Saccharomyces cerevisiae S288C: one gene and its partners. Changing the gene in region 2 together with the main gene of any one other region gives a genetic interaction. Each region holds a gene or a part of one and is shown on either strand. Other genes may lie near its edges.

Region 1 (3,686 bases), on a different chromosome or scaffold from region 2:
TATCCTCAAGAAGTCTTCGAGCTTTAAGTCGTTTCTCTTAGTCTCGCTTTCACAGTGTTACTGCTATCATTTCTTCACTCCTGGAGGCAAACGGATATTCTATAGAAGAAATTGGATGAGGACAAAATGTGTTGTTGCAACTTTAACTACGTGAGAAAGGTGAAAGTAAGGTATTAGAAGAGAGGACACAAGAGTTATAATATCAGTAACTTTCGAAGTGGGTATCTCACATGGTTTTGATTGGGGTTCTCGATTGTTTTGCCCCCCTGGTTTATTCATTTTTCATAACAATGCCAAGAACCGTTTTTAGGTTTGATTTCTCAGTTCCCTTGCGTTTCTTTCTCTGGAAATTTCATGATAGAATTACAAATTTGGATATGCTTGTTAGTATATGATACAATGATGGAGGTGAAAATCAGATGGTCCTATAAATAGTTTTTCGAAATCCATCGATGGTAGGGAACAACAAGAACAAGCACCCTCCTGTTTTTTTAAAACCCTTTCTGAAAAACACACAATTGGCTGCCCTTTCTATGTAGTGAAGAATCCTTTTGGAATATGAGCGGTACTTTAGGTGAACCTTTCAGCAATTGAAAGGATGCTGATCTTCTACTTTGAGTATTGGTGGGATTTAGGATTGCTTGATGTGTTGTTTTTACTAAATGTTGGTGGATGTTGCATGCTGTCTGGCGCATGAATCATTTGGTATTGTGTTTGAGCCGGGGGATTCATACGAGGAGCTGGCAAAATATAAATGCCATCTAGGTTCTTGTTGGTTGTGGAGGTGGTTATGTTTACATTTGGAGGATTAATAGAATCTGTGACTGGTTTTGGTTGTCGGTAATCATGCACAAGTATATGGTGTACTGGGGGCATCATTGTTGGGGCGATAGGCGCCTTAGAGTGATTGCATTCAGGACCCGACCTCGAAGAGTATGGATCGATATTTTGGTATGGTATTGGGCTCAATGTATTGGAGGAGTATATCACTGAAGGCGACACGCCACGCCGTTCATAAGGTGCTGCAGTAGGTTGTTGCGGGAGAGTATTGTATGTATTGCAGAAAATCATAGGTTGTGAGACCGTACGTCTCAATCCAGGCTGATAGTTAGGATTGTAAACACCAATTGGTTGTGGCTGGTGCTGCATATACGGGAGAGGTAATTTATTCTGTTCATCTATGGGTAAGAGATATTGTTGCTGTTGTCGGTGCTGCTGTTGGTGCATTTCTCGAGGAGCGTTATTGAAGGTGGTTAAAGGTAACTGAACTGCGGTCCTAACTGGAATATTTCCAGGATGGTTGTTATAATTGCTCAAGAGATCACAATAGCTCGGAGAAGATGATAAAGACCTGCGCGTTTTATAATTATGAGCTTTGGTTCTGCCTCTCTCATTATTTTTAGACGGGTTAGATCTGCCATTTCCTACAGCAACTTTTTGTAAAGCATCTAATAGTTTCTGTGAAGGTCGAAATTTATGGAAGAAAGGATTTTCTGAAGGTCTCCTCAAACTTCCTTGATGAATATCCTTTTCCGTATAGTACGCAATAAGATGAAATGTTTCCAGCTTAGTGCTGTCGGTGGGATCCATATTGAATTTTAGAGAAAATGTTTTTTTCAGTAGTCCAGTATAAAAATACTTCCTATGAGCCCTCTCGAAGATATTATACTCAGGTACATTATGCAGCGGTAGATCGTGCGTGGAACCCAGCCTATTATACTCTCTATATACGAGAAATTTGCCTGAAATTCTTGAAGGAGACCAAGAAAAACCATCTGTCCATCTTTTGATGCCGGATTTCTCTTCGTTGAAAACAAAAATGTTTCCGGGGTTGACTAATTCAACCTTTTCTGCATCATATGGCCTCCGTTCGATGCATCTCAAATTTCCATTGAATACGCCCTGGAAAACAAGGGCTAGATCTTGCTCGTCGTCGATGTACCCATAACAGGTAGGGCTGATATCCATCATTCTTACGCTTACTCGTCGATCTCCTTTTCCTATCTATTGTTTGATTAATTATCTTAATTCGTGGTTCCCTTTTTTCTCGCTTTATTTGTTTGTTTTGTTGAAGAAGGGCTTACAAGAATGTACGTATTAAATAATAATTCATACAAATAAACAGGGAATGATACATAGTAGTTCTCCCGCAGCAGCTACGTATGAATTACCCGCCTACCCGGTACTATAAAGAAAGAATAAGTGGGCGTCGATTATGAAGATTTACTAACTGCAATTATCATTTTTTTGATTTTCCTCAGTCCCTTAGGTGCGTTTTTGTGTTAATGCCTATTTTTTTTTTCTAGGCTTTCTTCTTCACTTCCTCTTTCCTCTTGAATTTTGAGGAATATACGACCGAGAAAAAGACAGACTACTTAAAAAGTTGCCAGAGTGATTAAAGTTCCGGGAACAAGGCTAAAATACGTTTACAACATATTCTTCCTTTTTTTTCCACATAAAAAGGTTAATAGTCATAGTCATATGTTAGCGTGATTTCAACTTAAAATTAGAGATTATTAGATAATTTTTTTTTAAATGACGGCCAAGAAAGTGAAAGTCTAAAAGGAACGTTTATCGCTTAATTTCTCTCTGCCTCAGATTCATACGTTGTTAAGATCTTTAAAAGGATGGCCTTTGCAGGATACTGAGGTTTATGCTGGCGCGCCTGTGCGGATTTTCCAGATTCAAAAAGAAAGTTTTCTTTTTTTTTTACATGGGAACTGCGTAGCCGCGAAGCACTGCAGGCCTTTCAGAGCAATTTTTGGCGCTGCCTTTTAAAAACTTACATTAAGGTTCGCTATTGCCGAAACGGAAGAGGCGGAAATTTAAGTATTCGTTAATTTTACGGTGGCGGTACGGTATATTCTGCGTAAGCAATCTGCGGACGGCCGGATTATTAATCAATGTTTGAAAAAAAAAGATAGCAGAAGTGAAGATTTCTTATTTTAACAGCGATAAGGTATATACATGAGGGAAACGAAATATTAAGCGGCACAATATGTGTTTTTTCTATACAAGTACATTCCTTTTTACGTTAAGTATGTGGCGCCGGAAGGAAGTATGGTGCTTTTTTTTTCTTTAGGGCTTGTGCGTGTTCCGCTAGAAGCACATTTCTTTCTTCTTTGTCTGTATAACTACTGTTTCTTAGATCGATCAGTCTATCATCCCATACAACTGGTTCGAAATGACCGACCCTACGTGGAATGCTATTCAGTAGTTCCTGTAGTTCTGCATAGTATTCCAGGTCCTTTCCCTTTGGGAAGTTGTGCGTTCCGCAGGCATTAGAGTCGAAAGTTGTAGTTATCGGTAAGCTTTTACAGAATACTTCGACCATAATAGCCGCCTGTAGTTCCGACAACGGGAACGGGATGACCAACTGCGGGGTCAAGATAAAGGACAGCGTAGGATCTTTTACATAGATCATGTGCTCCCACAAATTGTGCAGATTGACAGACGAGTGCTTGTCGCCAGTAACACCCTCACCTAGCACTTCCAGTCTAACGGAGGGCTCTATAAATGGAAAGCTGTAATAATAGCCTGTGGCGAAAATAATGTAGTCTATATTCTGAAGTACTCTTCCATCAGATAAAGTAACTGAACGATTTTTCCAATCGGCACTGTCTATTGTTTGGACAGTCTCGATTAACTTGGCCTTCAGTTGATTGCTCGCAGGCTCTTTTATACTA
Region 2 (3,759 bases):
AAATATGCTTTACCGTACCAGACGGTGGACGACTGCGTGTATTACTTTATGAGGTTTAGAATTTTGGATGACGGTAGTAATGGGGAAGATGCTACAAGAGTACTCCCAGTGATATGGCACAAGGCTTTCTTAACATTTGCACAACGTTACAAGAACGATATTACCCAGGATCAGAGAGATTTCTTGTTGGAAACTGTTCGTCAAAGAGGCCATAAAGATATCGGTCCTGAGATTAGAAGAGAACTATTGGCAGGAGCCAGCAGGGAGTTTGTTGATCCACAGGAAGCTAATGATGATTTAATGATTGATGTCAATTGATGCTGTAATATCAATTTTTCATCAATTTTATATCGCTCGGTCTTTCCCCCTTTCAACAAAGCTTCTGAATCATGTATAATAAGTAGAAAATATAGAGTAAAAGATTATTGTTCAGGCAAGTTCCTTCCTATCAATTCTTTATGCATAATCTATCGAAATCATCAAAATATGGCCTATATATTAGCCTATATATTAGCCTATATATTAGCCTATATATTAGTCCATATATTGCAGACTGAATTTTTTTTTCTAAACTATCCATGTTTGCAAGGAATTATCATAAAATGAGCATGTTGCGATCAAAGAATTTGACCAGTCGCCACCGTAACACATCGAATCATGGCCCTTCTTCAGATAATGTTGAATTTGAAAATACTCATCGGAATTATCATTCATGGTCACCACCTTGGCACCATTGTACATGCAACAAACTAAAAGCCGATCGGAGCCGTTGTGGTGAGATTGTTCCTGATCAATGGGGGATTCAACAAATCTCCAAACACCGCCACCAAGATCACACGCCAATTTATTAACTGTGGGGACATTTGCACCAGGAAATATGGACTCACCCATCATCCTTAAATCCAGAGAACGAATGTTATCATCATAGGATCCAGTTATTATGGACGTGGGTTTATTATTTCGAAAGTTAGGTTGACTACACTTAATGCTAACAACACCAGCATCATGAATACGATTATTACTCCAAATGAATTCTTTGGAACGTAAGTCGTGGGCCATAATTCTCGAATCATCACCTCCTGTAAATACAACGTCTTGAAAAGGCTGTAGAGATCCAAATTCCGCAGTCCAACACTCGAGTTCATGGGGTTTCAAAAATTGTCCCGATTCAACATGAATGACTTTTTCGGTTGCACCTTGAACTTCGTAATCTATTTTATCTAGTTTTGAGTAAGCCTGCGCGATTGCTGATGCCGTGAACTGTACAGATAGTGTTCTTATATCAATGGTAGCTGCTTCGCCTGCCGTATTTGTTACAAGTAATTTCTTACAATCAAGTGGGGAAAAATGGCACGAGGCAATGAGAACATCTTTTTCAAAGAGTTGTAGATTTGCAATTGCATGAATATCTAGTTCGTTTGATTGGAAATCATCCTTATCTGTGCACCGTATCCTCCATAGCATGATATTACCTGTCGAATGGGCCGTGCATATCAATGTATCATCAAAGGGGGATAACTTCAAATCTAGGATTGCGCCATACGTATTATTCGAACATAAAAGTTTGAGGTCCATTGTGAAGACATCCAGTGAGCCTGACCTGTATCCAGTTGACTTATCTAAATCATACGTCCCAACAAGGATGATCTTATTCCTGAATATTCTCAAACAACACGGCGGTAGTTTTGTTTTCACTGCATTTAGTACATCTGATTCTTGAATAGAGTCCATATGTATAGCTATGCAAAAACCAGCTAGAGGTGGATGTAGAAATACCCTATTATGGCCTATATGTTAGCTATTGCAAATTTTCACTTTTTCAAGTTCTATACTAGAATGAGAAAAAAACACGAAAACAATTCTTGCAATGAAAAGGACAAAGATGAGAACCTATTCAAAATTATTCTCGCCATATTTTTGCAAGAAAAAAAAAAATACGATTGTATTTCATCTGGTTCAATTATGACTGCTTCAGAAGAGTACTTGGAGAATTTAAAACCGTTCCAGGTCGGTCTCCCTCCACATGATCCTGAATCGAATAAAAAACGTTACCTGCTGAAGGATGCTAATGGTAAAAAGTTTGATCTGGAAGGCACTACAAAAAGATTTGAACATCTGCTATCCTTGAGTGGTTTATTCAAGCATTTTATTGAAAGTAAAGCCGCTAAAGATCCCAAATTCAGGCAGGTCTTAGATGTATTAGAAGAAAATAAAGCAAATGGCAAAGGCAAAGGCAAACACCAAGATGTTCGTAGACGAAAGACTGAACACGAAGAAGATGCGGAATTATTGAAAGAAGAAGACTCGGATGATGATGAGAGCATTGAATTCCAATTCAGAGAATCACCTGCTTACGTTAATGGTCAATTGAGACCTTATCAAATCCAAGGTGTCAACTGGTTGGTGTCTCTGCATAAGAACAAAATAGCGGGTATCCTTGCTGATGAAATGGGTTTAGGTAAGACCCTGCAAACTATTTCATTTCTGGGATATCTTAGGTACATTGAAAAAATTCCAGGTCCATTTTTAGTCATTGCGCCTAAGTCTACCTTAAATAATTGGCTGAGAGAAATAAATAGATGGACGCCAGACGTAAACGCCTTTATTTTGCAAGGAGATAAAGAAGAAAGAGCTGAACTGATCCAAAAAAAACTTTTAGGTTGTGACTTTGATGTTGTGATTGCTTCTTATGAAATTATTATAAGAGAAAAGTCGCCCCTTAAGAAGATTAACTGGGAGTATATTATCATTGATGAGGCTCACAGAATCAAGAATGAAGAGTCAATGCTTTCGCAAGTCTTAAGGGAATTTACCTCACGTAATAGGCTGTTGATTACTGGTACTCCTTTGCAAAACAATTTGCATGAACTATGGGCGTTATTAAATTTTTTGTTACCAGATATCTTTTCCGATGCACAAGATTTCGACGATTGGTTTTCTTCTGAAAGCACAGAGGAAGATCAGGATAAAATTGTCAAGCAACTCCACACTGTTTTACAGCCTTTTCTACTACGTCGTATCAAAAGCGATGTGGAAACATCCTTACTGCCTAAAAAGGAACTGAATTTATATGTCGGTATGTCTAGCATGCAGAAGAAATGGTACAAAAAGATTTTGGAAAAGGATCTGGACGCTGTGAACGGGTCTAATGGCAGCAAGGAATCCAAAACAAGACTTTTAAATATCATGATGCAACTTAGAAAATGTTGTAATCATCCATATTTATTCGATGGTGCTGAGCCAGGTCCACCGTACACTACGGATGAGCACTTGGTTTATAACGCTGCCAAACTTCAAGTTTTGGATAAGTTATTGAAGAAATTGAAGGAAGAAGGTTCTAGAGTTCTGATTTTCAGTCAAATGTCAAGATTATTGGATATTCTCGAGGATTATTGCTACTTCAGAAACTATGAATATTGCAGGATCGACGGTTCCACCGCTCACGAAGATAGAATTCAAGCCATTGATGATTATAATGCTCCTGATTCTAAGAAGTTTGTTTTCTTATTAACGACACGTGCAGGTGGGTTAGGTATCAATTTAACGTCAGCAGATGTCGTTGTCTTGTATGATTCAGATTGGAACCCACAAGCAGATTTACAAGCAATGGATAGAGCGCATCGTATTGGTCAGAAGAAGCAGGTCAAGGTATTCCGTTTGGTCACAGATAACTCCGTGGAAGAGAAAATTTTAGAAAGGGCTACCCAGAAGTTAAGATTAGATCAATTAGTTATCCAGCAAAACAGGACTTCTTTGAAA
Region 3 (3,759 bases), on a different chromosome or scaffold from region 2:
AAGAAGACCAAATAAAAAAATGGATAGAGGAAGAAAGATTGATGCAGGAGGAAAGCAGAAAATCAGAACAGGAAAAAGCTGCCAAGGAAGATGAAGAAAGGCAAAAGAAAGAGAAGGAAGCCAGATTGAAGGCAAGGAAAGAATCTTTGATAAATAAGCAAAAAACCAAGAGGTCCCAGCAAAAAAAATTGCAAAATTCCAAATCATTGCCTATCTCTGAGATTGAGGCCAGCAATAAAAATAATAATAGCAATTCTGGTTCAGCAGAAAGTGATAATGAAAGTATAAACAGTGATTCTGATACGACTTTGGATTTCTCTGTGTCTGGTAATACACTAAAAAAACACGCTTCACCCCTATTAGAAGACGTTGAGGATGAGGAAGTTGACAGATACAACGAGTCCCTAAGCAGATCTCCCAAGGGAAACTCTATTATTGAGGAGATATAATGGGTGATAATACATACTCCCCATCTTTCATTTTTACGGCATTAAATAACTAATTATATGCATCTTATATACTACTATAATTCACTGACTTTATGAAAGGAATATAAATCGGCACGGCAGAAGGCGGATTTATTTTGTTACAATATAACAAAATAAAAGGGCAACAGTAAAGTAGAAATTATTAGTATCCGTGATTTTAGTACAATTATTTGCTTCCTAGAAATCCGGTTTTCCATGTTAACATTTATGCTAGTATTTTATGGTGGAATGGCAAGTGATTCACAAAATACAAGCTACTTTATCGAATGATTGAAATTCATTTCTGCTTGAATAGAATTCAACTATCGTTTATCGATTCTATTTTGAGGATTCCTATACCCTCGAGGAGAACTTCTAGTATATTCTATATACCTAATATTACTACTGTTATTAACAATGGAATCCCAACAATTATCTCAAAATTCACCAATATCTCAATTCCATCTTTAGAAAAATTAAGTTCAAATTAACGGAAACAGTAATCAAGTAAAAGAGCTTTTTTTTTCTTCTCCCCTTCCTGCCCTGAAGATAATTGAGTAAATGTTACGTTGAGAATGGCTTTTTGATATTTCATTAGATTTACTTCATTATTCTTCTCTATTCTCCCCTTTCATCAATTAATTGGGCGTGTGGCGTAGTCGGTAGCGCGCTCCCTTAGCATGGGAGAGGTCTCCGGTTCGATTCCGGACTCGTCCAAATTTTTTTACTTTTAATGAGGTATACTGGAATATTACGGCTCTTTTTTTTTAGAAACATATTCCTCAAATGGGTAAACGGACCCTGGTGCAAGGTGTGGGTGCTGAGACAAATACGATCTGAGTTGTTTTAAAAAGGAAAACAAATGAATGCGTGCCCAAAGCGGAAAATTGGTCAACATCGATGCGTAATTAGTAGGCCCAGGTGAGCCTGTGCCGAACATGTATCTCTGCGCAGATTACTATATATTCCCGAGCATAACAGCATATAGTTTTCTTTCACATAGGCCTTCCTCCAACTGCCATCACTGTACATAGACGTTTCGGCACTGTATATTCTTGTCCCTTTTTTTTTGCCTACTACATTGCTGCATTCAAACGATATCGCTCTGCGAACCGTTTAAAACTGACCAAAATAGGGAGACCTACCTTCTAAGGAGAAAAAATTCGCATTGCTAAAAAAAAGCTAAAAGAGAAAGAGAAGAAGAATATTAAACCAGTATATTCTACTACAACTATCGATTTACTCCGACTACAAAGTGCCTCTTCGTATTTTCAGTCGCTCGAAAAAACAACCCATATTCCATTTGATTCTACGCAGCTGGTAGAAACTTTTACAGGTTTGATAAAATTATTACAATCGTTAGCGGTTACGCAAGGAATAGGAAATAAAGAAACGGTAAATAATAAGAAAAACACAGCAGATCTAAGCCTATTGCACACAGTATATTATAACCATTACTAGCTAGTGTTACATAAACAATAGCAGAATATGTCTGTGCGAAACCTCACCAATAATCGTCATTCCAACAGCGAAAATAGTGTTTCCGGAAGCGAAAACTCCTTTTATTCCTCGAATGAGCAATCAAGACAAAGCTCATCATTAGAACCTGCAGATGGTCAGAACGTTAGGGTGAGCGGTAATCCTTTCCTTGGAAGTGAAGAATTTGACGAAGATTATAATTCACCCAGTGGAGACGATGAGCGGCGTGGGGCAAATGAATATTCCAGTTCTTCATCCATAAATTATAATAACGATCCTAACAGCGATACTTCTCTTCTGGCTAATGAAAAGAACTCACCCGAGAGAAATGGTCAAAGAATGTCAGACTATAAGGGCTATTATGCTAAGACTAACCTAACTTCTGCTAATAACTTAAACAATCATAATAACAATAATTATAAGAACATTATAAGCAGTAGTAACGATAATAGTTTTGCATCACATTTACAGCCGCCGGACAGAAACTTACCGTCTCATCCTTCTTCAAATAATATGAGTAGCTTTTCTAACAACAGCTTAATTAAGTCTCCACCACCTTTTGACAGATATCCGCTAGTAGGAACGAGGCATATTTCAGCGGCTCAATCTCAGTCGCAGAACCTTATAAATGAAAAGAAAAGAGCGAATATGACTGGCTCATCTTCTTCTGCTCACGACTCTTCATTATCATCCACCAACTTATACATGGGCGAACAGGATTTTTCGCCCTTTGGCGGTTATCCAGCTTCCTTCTTTCCGTTAACGTTGGACGAAAAGGAAGACGATGACTACATTCATAATCCAAATGTCGAGGAAGAAGCAAAGTTAGATAGAAGGAGGTTCGTTGACGACTTCAAACACATGGATAGAAGATCTTTCTTGGGGCTTCTGGGTATTCTATTTTTATTTATGGCTGGTATATTTATTTTCATTGTATTACCTGCAATTACATTTTCCGGGGTAGTTTATCATCATGAACATGTTCATGCGGCAAATTCAGCAGGATCGTCGTCTTCTAATACTACATCCAAGTCATTGACTGAATATCAATATCCTCAACTTGCGGCTATAAGGACAACTTTAGTTGATCCAGACACACCTGACAGTGCGAAGACAAGAGTAGCGAAAGATGGATCTAAATGGCAGCTGGTGTTTTCCGATGAATTTAATGCTGAAGGTAGGACCTTTTACGATGGCGATGACCAGTTTTGGACAGCTCCTGACATCCACTACGACGCTACGAAAGATCTTGAATGGTACTCACCAGATGCCGTTACAACTACAAATGGTACCTTGACGTTGAGAATGGATGCATTCAGAAACCATGACCTTTATTACAGATCTGGTATGGTACAGAGCTGGAACAAACTCTGCTTTACAGAAGGTGCGTTAGAAGTTTCCGCGAACCTCCCTAATTATGGTCGAGTTACAGGATTATGGCCTGGTATGTGGACCATGGGGAACTTGGGCAGACCAGGTTATTTGGCGAGTACTCAAGGTGTTTGGCCTTATTCATATGAAGCATGTGACGCTGGTATAACACCAAACCAAAGTTCCCCAGATGGTATTTCTTACTTGCCGGGACAAAAGTTGAGTGTTTGTACTTGTGATAATGAGGATCATCCAAATCAGGGAGTTGGAAGAGGCGCACCGGAAATAGATATTTTAGAAGGTGAAGCTGATACAATTTTGGGTGTTGGTGTTGCGTCACAATCTCTACAAATTGCTCCATTTGATATATGGTACATGCCCGATTATGACTTCATCGAAGTTTATAATTTCACCACAACAACTATGAATACTTACGCTGGTG

What was found.
Region 1: mutations in RRT2 (region 2) and ROF1 together harm fitness less than expected from each alone (positive genetic interaction), as found in Saccharomyces cerevisiae (one large-scale study listed by BioGRID).
Region 3: mutations in RRT2 (region 2) and SKN1 together harm fitness more than expected from each alone (negative genetic interaction), as found in Saccharomyces cerevisiae (one large-scale study listed by BioGRID).

Annotation. Positions count from the first base shown.
Region 1 is NC_001140.6:454,876-458,561, reverse strand, and holds ROF1 (Rof1p), read right to left. Parts: upstream 1,972-3,686; coding exon 610-1,971; downstream 1-609. Other genes in the region: FMO1 (N,N-dimethylaniline monooxygenase), read right to left, coding at 3,035-3,686.
Region 2 is NC_001134.8:709,563-713,321, reverse strand, and holds RRT2 (diphthamide synthase), read right to left. Parts: upstream 1,732-3,759; coding exon 568-1,731; downstream 1-567. Other genes in the region: snoRNA-binding rRNA-processing protein ENP1, read left to right, coding at 1-318; chromatin-remodeling ATPase ISW1, read left to right, coding at 1,783-3,759. UniProt on the Saccharomyces cerevisiae protein: Catalyzes the demethylation of diphthine methyl ester to form diphthine, an intermediate in diphthamide biosynthesis, a post-translational modification of histidine which occurs in translation elongation factor 2 (EFT1 and EFT2).
Region 3 is NC_001139.9:773,238-776,996, forward strand, and holds the start of SKN1 (beta-glucan synthesis-associated protein SKN1), read left to right. Parts: upstream 1-1,955; coding exon 1,956-3,759. Other genes in the region: BTN2 (Btn2p), read left to right, coding at 1-449. UniProt on the Saccharomyces cerevisiae protein: Required for synthesis of the major beta-glucans of the yeast cell wall.